Linked DNA regions of Arabidopsis thaliana. The protein of the gene in region 1 interacts with the protein of each later gene in a biochemical or structural test. Each region holds a gene or a part of one and is shown on either strand. Other genes may lie near its edges.

Region 1 (5,546 bases):
AAGGAGAGGAGACGAAACTGACCAACGGGAGTGATGCTCTTAAGCCGATTCGATACGAAAATAAGCGGAGCGAATACAGATATCGATAGCAGAGCGAGGATCAAAATCCTCTGCCATCGACGAATTTGTTTCATGAATCTACAAATAAAAAAAAATCCCCAAATCTATCTTCCTCGATGACTATTCTTATCACATCAAACCCTGAATCGTTCTCCAGGAAGAAGTAGCAAGAGACTCACAAATCTCGGAGATATCCTGCTTGATCAACAAGCAAAAGAACGAAACGTGAAGAACTTAGGGTTTCTGGGATTGCTTTTCTCTAGTGGGAGATTCTATTCCTCGCTTGAATTTCTGGATTTGGGGTCGGAGAGAGGAGTTTTAGATTCAGAGCTTCTTCATGCATCATCGGGGGATTGTGCTCACTTATATATATTTAATTAACAGAAATAATCATTGTTTAATTTGTGTTAGGTCTCTATAAAATTAAATTAATGTTATTGGTCGAACGAATTAATTTGTTTATAACTTTATAGTATATAGTTTTTTGGGTGTTCGTGTTGACATGTCAAATGTTATTAGGGTGAAAGGAAGCAGTGATGCGGATCAGGTGCGGGCAGGTGTACATGTGAAGACATGTGATTATGCCGTTGATGAAGCTGTAAGTAATTTAATGTGATCAGTCTTCTTTGCAAATTTTATCAATCACCAGTCAGACGAAGACACGTGGATAAAGTTTTTCCTCCCTCCTCTTAGAAGACAAGAAAGGAACTTCAGTCTCATATCAATGGATGATTAGCCTATTATTATGAAAAAGATATCTAGCATGTCGGCCAAAAAAAATTATGGCATAAATAGAATTGTAACGAAAAATGACTTTTGCCGATTCTGTTCATTATTTTTCAACAAAAATGTTAACTGGTTAACGAAAAATGTTTAACTAAGTCAAATGGGTGTTAACGTTGACTATGGATGCTTTTTTTTTTTTGAGCCAAGTAAGATTACATTTTGGGTTTTTTCTTTATTTAATGAAGTTGTTGGCAATTTGCTTAATTCGCTATTGGAACGACGGGTCTTTTCATTTATTATGTGTAAAATGGTGGAGGTAGATTATGGAGTACATAACACTCGGTTTAATAAATCATGACAGTATCATATAAAGATACTTAATATGCGCAAAGCTTTGAATGATCAAAATCGCTAGCTAGTGTATCATCAAATTGTTGCCGAAAATCTTAACTTTGACGTCGGTTAAAACACTAATCAGCATAGGACACATAAAACTACATACGTACATATGAAAATTTCTCTGTTTTTCCTAATCACCATTCATCTGTATGCTACTAAAAATCGAGGTGTCAATATTGAAAGTTTGAAACCTTATTAGCCTTCATGCTTCGATTAGCGAATGGGTACATAAGCCTTCTACAGGCCCTTTGGAACAAAACCTCTTATCTGATGTTATCTCGTACCCCATTATACGAATGACGAATCGTTACATTTGGTCGTTGATTCGAATGTTCCATATTCATTGATTAATGTAAACGAAATCCATTATTATAGTTATACAAATCATTTTTACCATCATCTGATTATAATATGAAGAGTTCACCATCATTTACTTTTCAAAATATTAGGATAGCAAATAACAATTTCTCACCCAAAAAGTTGAAAAGAAATTTATGTCGTTCAACTTTTTTTTTTTACAAAACTCTTCTTTCCTAATTAGATTAACCAAAATAAAGAATGTTTGACCTAGTTTTCCTAATTAAAGTAACACAAAGATTTTGACCCAAAAAAAAACGTCTTTGAGCGCTCGTTTTCTTGTCGACGAGAGAGCTCTTAAGACAGAACACAAAGATAAAAAGAGAAACCCTTGTTCCAATAAAATAAAAAGAAGTGACACATCGCGTCTCTTAAATTTTAATAGACGACGACGGCCACTTCTTGTCCGAATCGTACGTCAATTCTTCTTCCATCTCTCTCGCACCATAACATTTATTCTTCAGATCACCAGCGACCGAGCGAAAGAAACGACACTTCTTCGCCGTTTTCGTCCACATGCAGTTTTGGGGATAGCACGTTGTGAGTGATTAAGCCCAACAGATAAAGAGAAAGATGATGATTAAGGTGAAGAAGGAGACGATGAGGGCATGCTTAAGCTGCTCTATCTGCGACAATATCCTCCGTGACGCCACCACTATCTCCGAGTGCCTCCACACATGTCAGTTCCTCTTTTTAACCCACCAAATGTTTCGAAATTCGCTGACATTGGCTTTGATTTCTTCTCAATTTGGATGATTATATTATAGCTCTGTCTTCTTCGTCTCGTCCTATAATCGATACAATTGAAAAGTGGGTCAATGAATAGTTTTTGTTGACCAAAAAGAATATGCAATTTTGACTGCTTCAATCTCTCCTTCTTCGTCTTTCTAGTGATAGTTGATTCAGCATTTTCATGTATAGTTTCCTTGTGGGTTTCAGCTTCTTACTTGTATGCAATTCAATTTGAGTTTTTTCTTATACCAAGTATGAAATTTGCTCACATTTATTATAAGTCATGTTGTTAGTTGCTATCTACTGGAATGGAATAACTTTTTAGATTACTTTCGTACGCAGTTTGTAGGAAATGCATCTATGAGAAGATCACGGAGGATGAGATAGAGACTTGTCCCGTATGCAATATCGACCTCGGTAGCACCCCATTGGAGAAGCTGAGGTAAGCTATTCGTGTTCTGTATTTCAGACTCTACCAGTTCTCATCAAAATATGGTTTAGTTTGGTTAAATTTCTTTGCTCCTTGTTCATCTAATTTGTGGACTCAATCCAATTGCTTTTCTTGTTGGTGAAATGAACTGCTATAACACAATCTCTGGAATCTTGTTCATTTAATACACGTAGCACAATGGTTTTTATGAGAGAGAGACCATTTATAGGATGTTGTAGGAGAATCTAAATAGATCTCTTTTGTACTTTCCTTTTTCTTACTCGTTATTGTACTGATGGGAGCCACTTGTGTGCATGGTTTTAGGCCTGACCACAATTTGCAAGACTTGAGGGCCAAAATCTTTGCTCTAAAACGAAGAAAAGTGAAAGCTCCTGGAATTGTGTCCTTACCAGGAAAGAGGAAGGAGAGATCTATATCTTCTTTGGTTGTGAGCACACCTATGGTGTCAGCACAAGCTGGAACAACGAGAAGAAGAACTAAAGCACCTACAAGAAAAGAGTTACGTAATGGTTCTTTGGCTGAGAGAACTGTGAAGAAGGAAGAATCTTCTGGGGATGAGCTTCTGGAGAGCACAAGCTCACCCGACACTCTTAACAAATTCACTCAGAATAAAAGACAGTCAAAGAAGGTGATCACTGAACTACTCTATTTTCTCGTAATGACTTCATATTTGACATGATTTGGTTACATATTTATTTTTGTTTGGTACACTTCAAAAGTAAATATTCAGTAAAAATATTTGATACTGTTATTGGTCTCACATTCATTTGAGTTATTTTGTTTTTTGCAGTCATGTAAAGAGTCCATCTCCAATAAAGAAAACAAGGATGGTGATGAACCCTGGGATTCCAAAATGGATTGGAAACCTTTGAACTTTCTGGTTGAAGTGGCAAATGGGACAAAGCCCTTGAAGTCTTCTGCTTCTCAAGGGTCAGGTTCAAAATCTGAGCACGCGAATGTATCTCGCAATCAATTTCAAGGGAGTAAAACCAAAACTAAGAATAAAAAGAGAAAATGTAAACGTGAGGATGACAAGAGTAATAATGGTGATCCTACAACATCAGAAACTGTTACTCCTAAAAGAATGCGTACAACTCAACGCAAAAGGTCTGCCACCACTTTAGGCGATTCAAGGAATTTGCCACAACCAGATGAGTCAAGTGCAAAACAGGAGAGGAGAAATGGTCCCGTTTGGTTCTCACTTGTGGCGTCCAATGATCAGTGAGATTTTTGCTCTCATATCTGAAACTATTTCCTTTCATGATCTTTCTCTCTTTCTTCATTTTGTTTCTCTTCTCTTGGTATATTGACAAGGGCTTACTGGTTACAGGGAAGGAGGAACTTCTTTACCTCAAATTCCAGCAAATTTTTTGAGAATAAGGTAGGTTACAGTTTAGGTATTCTTTGTTTTATATATCCTGTGTTGTCGCTGCATCTTACATAGTCCCTCATTTTTCTGTTATGAGGAATTCTTTTGTTGGGGAAGATAATCCAATGTCTCATTCTGTGATAGGGATGGAAATACAACAGTTTCTTTCATCCAAAAGTACCTCATGAGGAAGCTAGATCTCGAGAGTGAAAATGAGGTAAGGGTCTTTATATGCACTATGGCACGAGAAAGGATAGAACGTTTGAATATAATGGAACTTATATGTTTGGTTGATAAAAAATGGACATACTTATGGTTTATGTTCAGATAGAGATAAAGTGTATGGGAGAAGCGGTGATCCCAACGCTGACGCTTTACAATTTAGTGGATCTATGGCTCCAGAAAAGTTCAAACCACCAACGGTTTGCTGCATTGGTAGGTTCTTCTGCAAAGGATTTTACGATGGTTCTTGTCTATGCTCGGAAGCTACCAGAGTGCAACATGTAAAGGACTTTAAAGACTCATGTTGTTGCAGAAGAAGATTCTGTGGAGACAGGGTAATCTTTTCTTTTCGGTTTATGGAATCTCTCAAAGCATTACAAGAGAGAACATTACTAGAACTACAGGAGCAGTCGAATGTGTTGTGAAATTAGTATTAATATTTTTTTCTATAGACGAAATATACACTCATGAGTCGCTTTTCTGTGCAAGAAAATACAAAATTTGTTTCCCTTTTCTTTCTTCTTCTTCTACTATGTGTCCTCTCTGGACTTGCATGTAACATTGTTGTCACTTTCTAATCAAATGTTGTAGTTTAAGATGTTTTAGATTGATTTATATGCATTTATTTGGGTACTACATCATTTCTATGGAAACTAAGGTTTTCAAGAATTACTGTTCAAGTGTTGACTGTGGATGACGAATGTAGTAGAACTGTGATGACCTATATGGAGGTAGAAAACTACCAAATTAACTACATAAAACTTATCTGACAAAAGACGAATGAAGTTCATTATCACTATTTTGTGTTATCGTGAGTACCACTATGTGGTGACAACCATCATGCTTAATATGAGTAACATATTTATATAACAAATTGTTATGATGTTCAAAAAATGTTACGAGTATGCAATTTAACAGATTCTTTTTAATTCATGCTTTACATATAGCCATGATGCTTAACGATATCCAAAAGAAAACAAAAAAAAATCATTGAAGAGATTGCACCTAGACTAGATTGCCTCTCGGATGACCTTGTACATGTGTTGCTCTTAAGAAACGTAATCTATGCATCATAACTAAAGGAAAGTTATACATGTGTTTTAATATCAATTAAAATTGGTTGATTACATACTTAAACTAGTAAATCACAATCTATGAATAATCCGGACTCTTTTTAACATAGACACATGACACATCAACAAGTAGTGTGCAACATATTCTAGAGGATGG
Region 2 (4,443 bases), on another chromosome or scaffold:
AAGCTGAGCCTGGCAAAAGGGTATGAGCATTTAGTCCTAAACTGTTGTAGTTTGTGTGCAAATATTTGTTGGAGGTCAGTCTATTGTCTCTGAGTGCAGGTAAGTGTCCATTATACTGGAAAGCTTCAGGGGAATGGGAAGATTTTCGATTCCACCGTTGGAAAATCACGTTATAAGTTTCGTCTAGGTTGGTATTATAACTTGATGCGAAAGTAAGAGCTTTATTAATGTGTGAGTGGTACTTGGATACTTATGTGCTTGCTGTTACACATACAGATGCTGGAAAAGTCATTAAGGGATTGGATGTTGGCCTTAATGGTAACCTAGCTAGTTTCTTACTGGTTTTTCTTCACTAAATATGGTCAAATGGTGTGTTGTTTTGATCTCTTTTTGTAAATTTCTAAAGGAATGCTTGTTGGTGGCAAAAGAAAGCTTACAATTCCTCCAGAAATGGGGTAAAGCCTTTGCAAATCTTTTTTTATTTTTCCATAATGTGATGTTTTATTTTAAGCTTTTTTTAATGAGAGATGATAAAATTGTCTGGCTCACAGGTATGGTGCGGAAGGTGCTGGTAGCATTCCCCCTGACTCTTGGCTGGTCTTTGATGTCGAGCTGCTTAATGTTAAATAAAGCTGCCCTCTAATCCCTAGAGAACTTCCTAAGACTCAATCCAATGATGAGTTTTTTTGTGGAGATCGTATAGTTTTTCCTCTTACGATTTCAAATATTGTGAGACACACTAAGGCCCATAAAGCTTCACAAGTGTGTATTATTCATTCCTGTTGTTACAAAACATAAAACATATCTAAAGAACAACTTAAGAGAAGCAGACTAACAAACTATAGTTGTCTTCTCTATTGTCATATCACTGTTTCGATATATACAGTTCACCTTTATAACAAGAAAAAACGTGTTCTGTAGTTCTCTATATCACTAAAACTCGGATAGAGAATCAACAGTCGTTGTGGGATTAAGGCAAATATCAAATCCAAAAAGCTTCATATTGTTTTGTTTAGTTCTCCAGATCCAAGTAACTCAAGTCGTCGAAGAATCCATTACCATCCTTTCCCTCGAGCTGAAACGGAGGTATTCCGTAGTTGAGGCTTTGTAGCGGATCAAAACCACTTTGTTGACTCTCGGGCCTGTATGAACCGTTGGCAACACTGTTCCCCGGGTACCGGTCCTGATTTAAGCCTGCAAACACATCGTCGCCATTTAGGTCACGTAGAAGCTCATCGACATCAAACATGTCTGAAGAATCCAAGTGACTCTGATCCACATCATTGGGCCAACCATAGTCTGCAACAGATAGCGAATCCTGCTGTTGTTGCTGACAGGTTTCTACAATCCCTTGCTCCTTCTGTTTCTCTTTCTCTTTCAGAATATCACTCCAATAGTTATGTTCAAACTCGCTCAGCCAATGCTTATCCGCTTTAACACCTCTCTTCATCTCTTCCGCACCATTCTCCAGACAATACATCGGCTCCACTCCACCGGAGAAGGGTTTAGATTCACAATCTGGATCCTCTGTTTTCACATGAACACAACCAGGAGTCTCAACAGTACACACCTCAGACTGACTTGAGGTACTCGTAACCTCAGACGCATCAGACCGAGGGAAATTAAGACGAGCCAAAGGACCATACATAGCTTTAGCAGCCTCATCATAAGCAGAAGCAGCTTCTTGAGCAGTAGGGAAAGTACCAAGCCAAAGCCTGCTACCTCGATTAGGCTCTCTGATCTCAGCAACCCATTTACCCCAAATCCTTTGCCTAACTCCTCTGAAACTACATCGGCTATTCTCTGGTCCTCCTTTACCTTTCATACAACCCTTCTTCGACCCTTTCGCAGGTACTTTCCTCTTCTTGGTAGAAACTTCTTCTACGGTCTCGTTATACTCTTTCCATCTCTTTAATCTCTCAGCCACAGTAGTACCGTCACCTCTACTTCTAGATTTCCTTTTCCTCGATGTATCAATTTGTGTTCTGTTTCTATCTCCACTCTGATCATAAACTGCCATCTCCTTCCCAGAAACAACACAATCTACAATACAACAACACTTCAATATCAGAACACAAGCTGAAACATAAGGCAAGAGAACTTAAACTTGGTTCAAAATCAGATCGATTTACTTATTTGTTATCAAATTAGGAACACCTAAAATTTCCCAATTTCACAGCTATACCTAAAAGGAAATAATCGAAAACCTAAAGACGAAGATAAACCCTAGAATCACCAATTGACGAGACCTAATCAGAGAAATTAATTGAAAATTTGTAAGAAATCAGAAATCAACGTACCTATAGGGGACGAAATTTGAAAATCAAAGTCTCTTCCTTCGAGTTGATAAATCGCTTTCGTGTTTAGTCTTCTTGCTCGTATCTTTTCTTCTTCTTCTTGTGTGTAGCTTTTTCGAGTTTTCCTCTTCTTTTTATCAGACAGCTTTAGCAGAAATCAAAATATCTAAGGAAGACAAAGTATCTACGGAGTATTTATAGCCTTCTCTAGATTTTTCTAACATTATTTTATTTTTCTGTTTGAGAGCAAGGTTACGTGTCAGTTTTTGATTCGAACATAAAGGCTTAGACGACTTTTCCGTTCGACGAGTGTCCTCCCGAATCTTCTCGAAACACGCTGTTGATACGGAAAAGTAAAGTTTAAACCTTTTTAAAATTGATTTATGGATAAGATCATAAAACTACTTCATTATTTAAATATTATGAAATTTTAAAATATCTTCATTTTTTTTTTATTAACCCTGACAACACAACACTGTCTCATCTGCTCTTTCTCGATTTTTCTTGGTTTATTGCCAGTTTGCCACTGCATCACACTTACTAGATGTGTAATTGGATGATGATGTTTATTGCCTGTTTTTCTAGTTTTTACAAACGTGCACATTATTCAATTTTGTTTTGATGAGATACTTATCGTTTATATAGATATTTTTAAAAAGATCACGGTTAATATTGTAAAATTAAAGGTTTCCGGTGTACGTACGACATAGAGCGAATTCATAAATGTGTCAGCCAGAAATGTCTTAAACATGAAGTATTAGTTTAAAGTTTAAGCATTAAGTATTAGCTAGAGACGTGTCAAATGGTGAAGCTCAAACTTGGGTGGCTTAGCTTCGAGCAGAGGTGATAGGGTCCATTACCTTATAAAATTTGGGAATCGCAAGTTGTAGCAAAGCAGCAGTCATTTATAGCCTTTGCATGTGCCTCATGTGTCCTTTGCTAACCAAAGCCACTTCATCCACTACGTGTCTCTAACGGCATCGCTAACGTAAGCTCACGCAATTGCCTACGTACTTCAACCTCATGGGCCTTAGTTACTTAACATCCATTATCAAACCCATTGCCTACGTGATACAATCCCATGTGCCTCAGTTAATTAACATCCATTATCAAACCCTTAAAGCCCGTTAATCTAAATTAGCCCATTGGATGGGTGTCGTCCATTTTATTTCTACCGTCGGTGTTGCTACTATCTCGCTATCTCAAGCACGATCGGGTGAGCATCTTCTAGTCTAGTCGATTGAGCCTACAAGTTTCTATCTTCTGGATCTATATGAAATTTCAGTTTGTTTGTTTTTTTTTTCGCTGAAGAGAAATTTCAGTTTTTATTGGTCTAAATAAGGCATGAATTTGGAAATCTGTATCTACGAGTTGGTTTCTTCGCTGTAATGCTTGTTTGTTTTTGGTTTAGTGAACAACATTTGGATGATAAATTATTTGTGCGGAAAAAGCTGCAAGATGATGCCATGATGGCAACACTAATTTTGTTGCTGACTGTAGACTCTCTTTTCTTCGACGACCGTGAGAAGAGCTCTGTAAGTTTGGCTTCTTTCTTTCCATATTAGTATGAATAGGTTATTCGCGTGGCTATGAATCATTCAGCATTGTCTAAGGCCTAGGATCGATAGGGAGGAACGCATTCATTACAATGATTTAGGTTATCGATTACAAAACCATTATTGGAAAACGAGATGTAAGTAAAATGTTGACTTGGCTTGGCCAAACCACGTTAGAATTGTGTTAAGAAAAAACGAGCACATAGTGCTCACTAAACTTGGCTCTGTTAACATCCCAAGGGTCGTTGACCTTATGAAAAAAATGTTATCTTGGTTACAGTTCATTTTTAAAATAACATAAATATTTGATCGAGTCGTAGATGACTGGATGCCAAGATTGGTGGTCAACCCGAATGATCGTGCACACACCTCAGTTAATAAACTAAAACATTAGGAAAGGAATTTGTATATTAATCTCTCTGGTAGGAATTTGAGAATCTATGAGAGATGGGAGCCTGCTTCTCTGTGGCAATATCCTGTGACCAGGCTGTTAATAACCTTACAAGCTGCCTTAGCAGGAACCAAAATCGCTTCCGCAACCTCGTAGATCATGTAGCGGCTCTAAAGAAAACTGTACGACAGTTGGAGGC

What was found.
Region 2: the proteins of DRIP1 (region 1) and DREB2A form a complex in vitro, tested with the Arabidopsis thaliana proteins (one study listed by BioGRID).

The regions. Positions count from the first base shown.
Region 1 is NC_003070.9:2,078,277-2,083,822, reverse strand, and holds DRIP1 (DREB2A-interacting protein 1), read left to right. Parts: upstream 1-1,725; 5' UTR 1,726-2,115; coding exon 2,116-2,221; exon of another isoform or gene 2,222-2,616; coding exon 2,617-2,716; intron 2,717-3,028; coding exon 3,029-3,353; intron 3,354-3,515; coding exon 3,516-3,946; intron 3,947-4,055; coding exon 4,056-4,106; intron 4,107-4,238; coding exon 4,239-4,311; coding exon of another isoform or gene 4,312-4,421; coding exon 4,422-4,601; 3' UTR 4,602-4,927; downstream 4,928-5,546. Other genes in the region: GAUT6 (galacturonosyltransferase 6), read right to left, coding at 1-134. UniProt on the Arabidopsis thaliana protein: E3 ubiquitin-protein ligase that acts as a negative regulator of the response to water stress. Mediates ubiquitination and subsequent proteasomal degradation of the drought-induced transcriptional activator DREB2A. Functionally redundant with DRIP2.
Region 2 is NC_003076.8:1,600,227-1,604,669, reverse strand, and holds DREB2A (DRE-binding protein 2A), read right to left. Parts: upstream 2,466-4,443; 5' UTR 2,301-2,465; intron 2,044-2,300; 5' UTR 2,021-2,043; coding exon 1,013-2,020; 3' UTR 631-1,012; downstream 1-630. Other genes in the region: AT5G05420 (FKBP-like peptidyl-prolyl cis-trans isomerase family protein), read left to right, coding at 1-20, 100-187, 277-318, 407-455, 552-630; AT5G05400 (LRR and NB-ARC domains-containing disease resistance protein), read left to right, coding at 4,301-4,443. UniProt on the Arabidopsis thaliana protein: Transcriptional activator that binds specifically to the DNA sequence 5'-[AG]CCGAC-3'. Binding to the C-repeat/DRE element mediates high salinity- and dehydration-inducible transcription.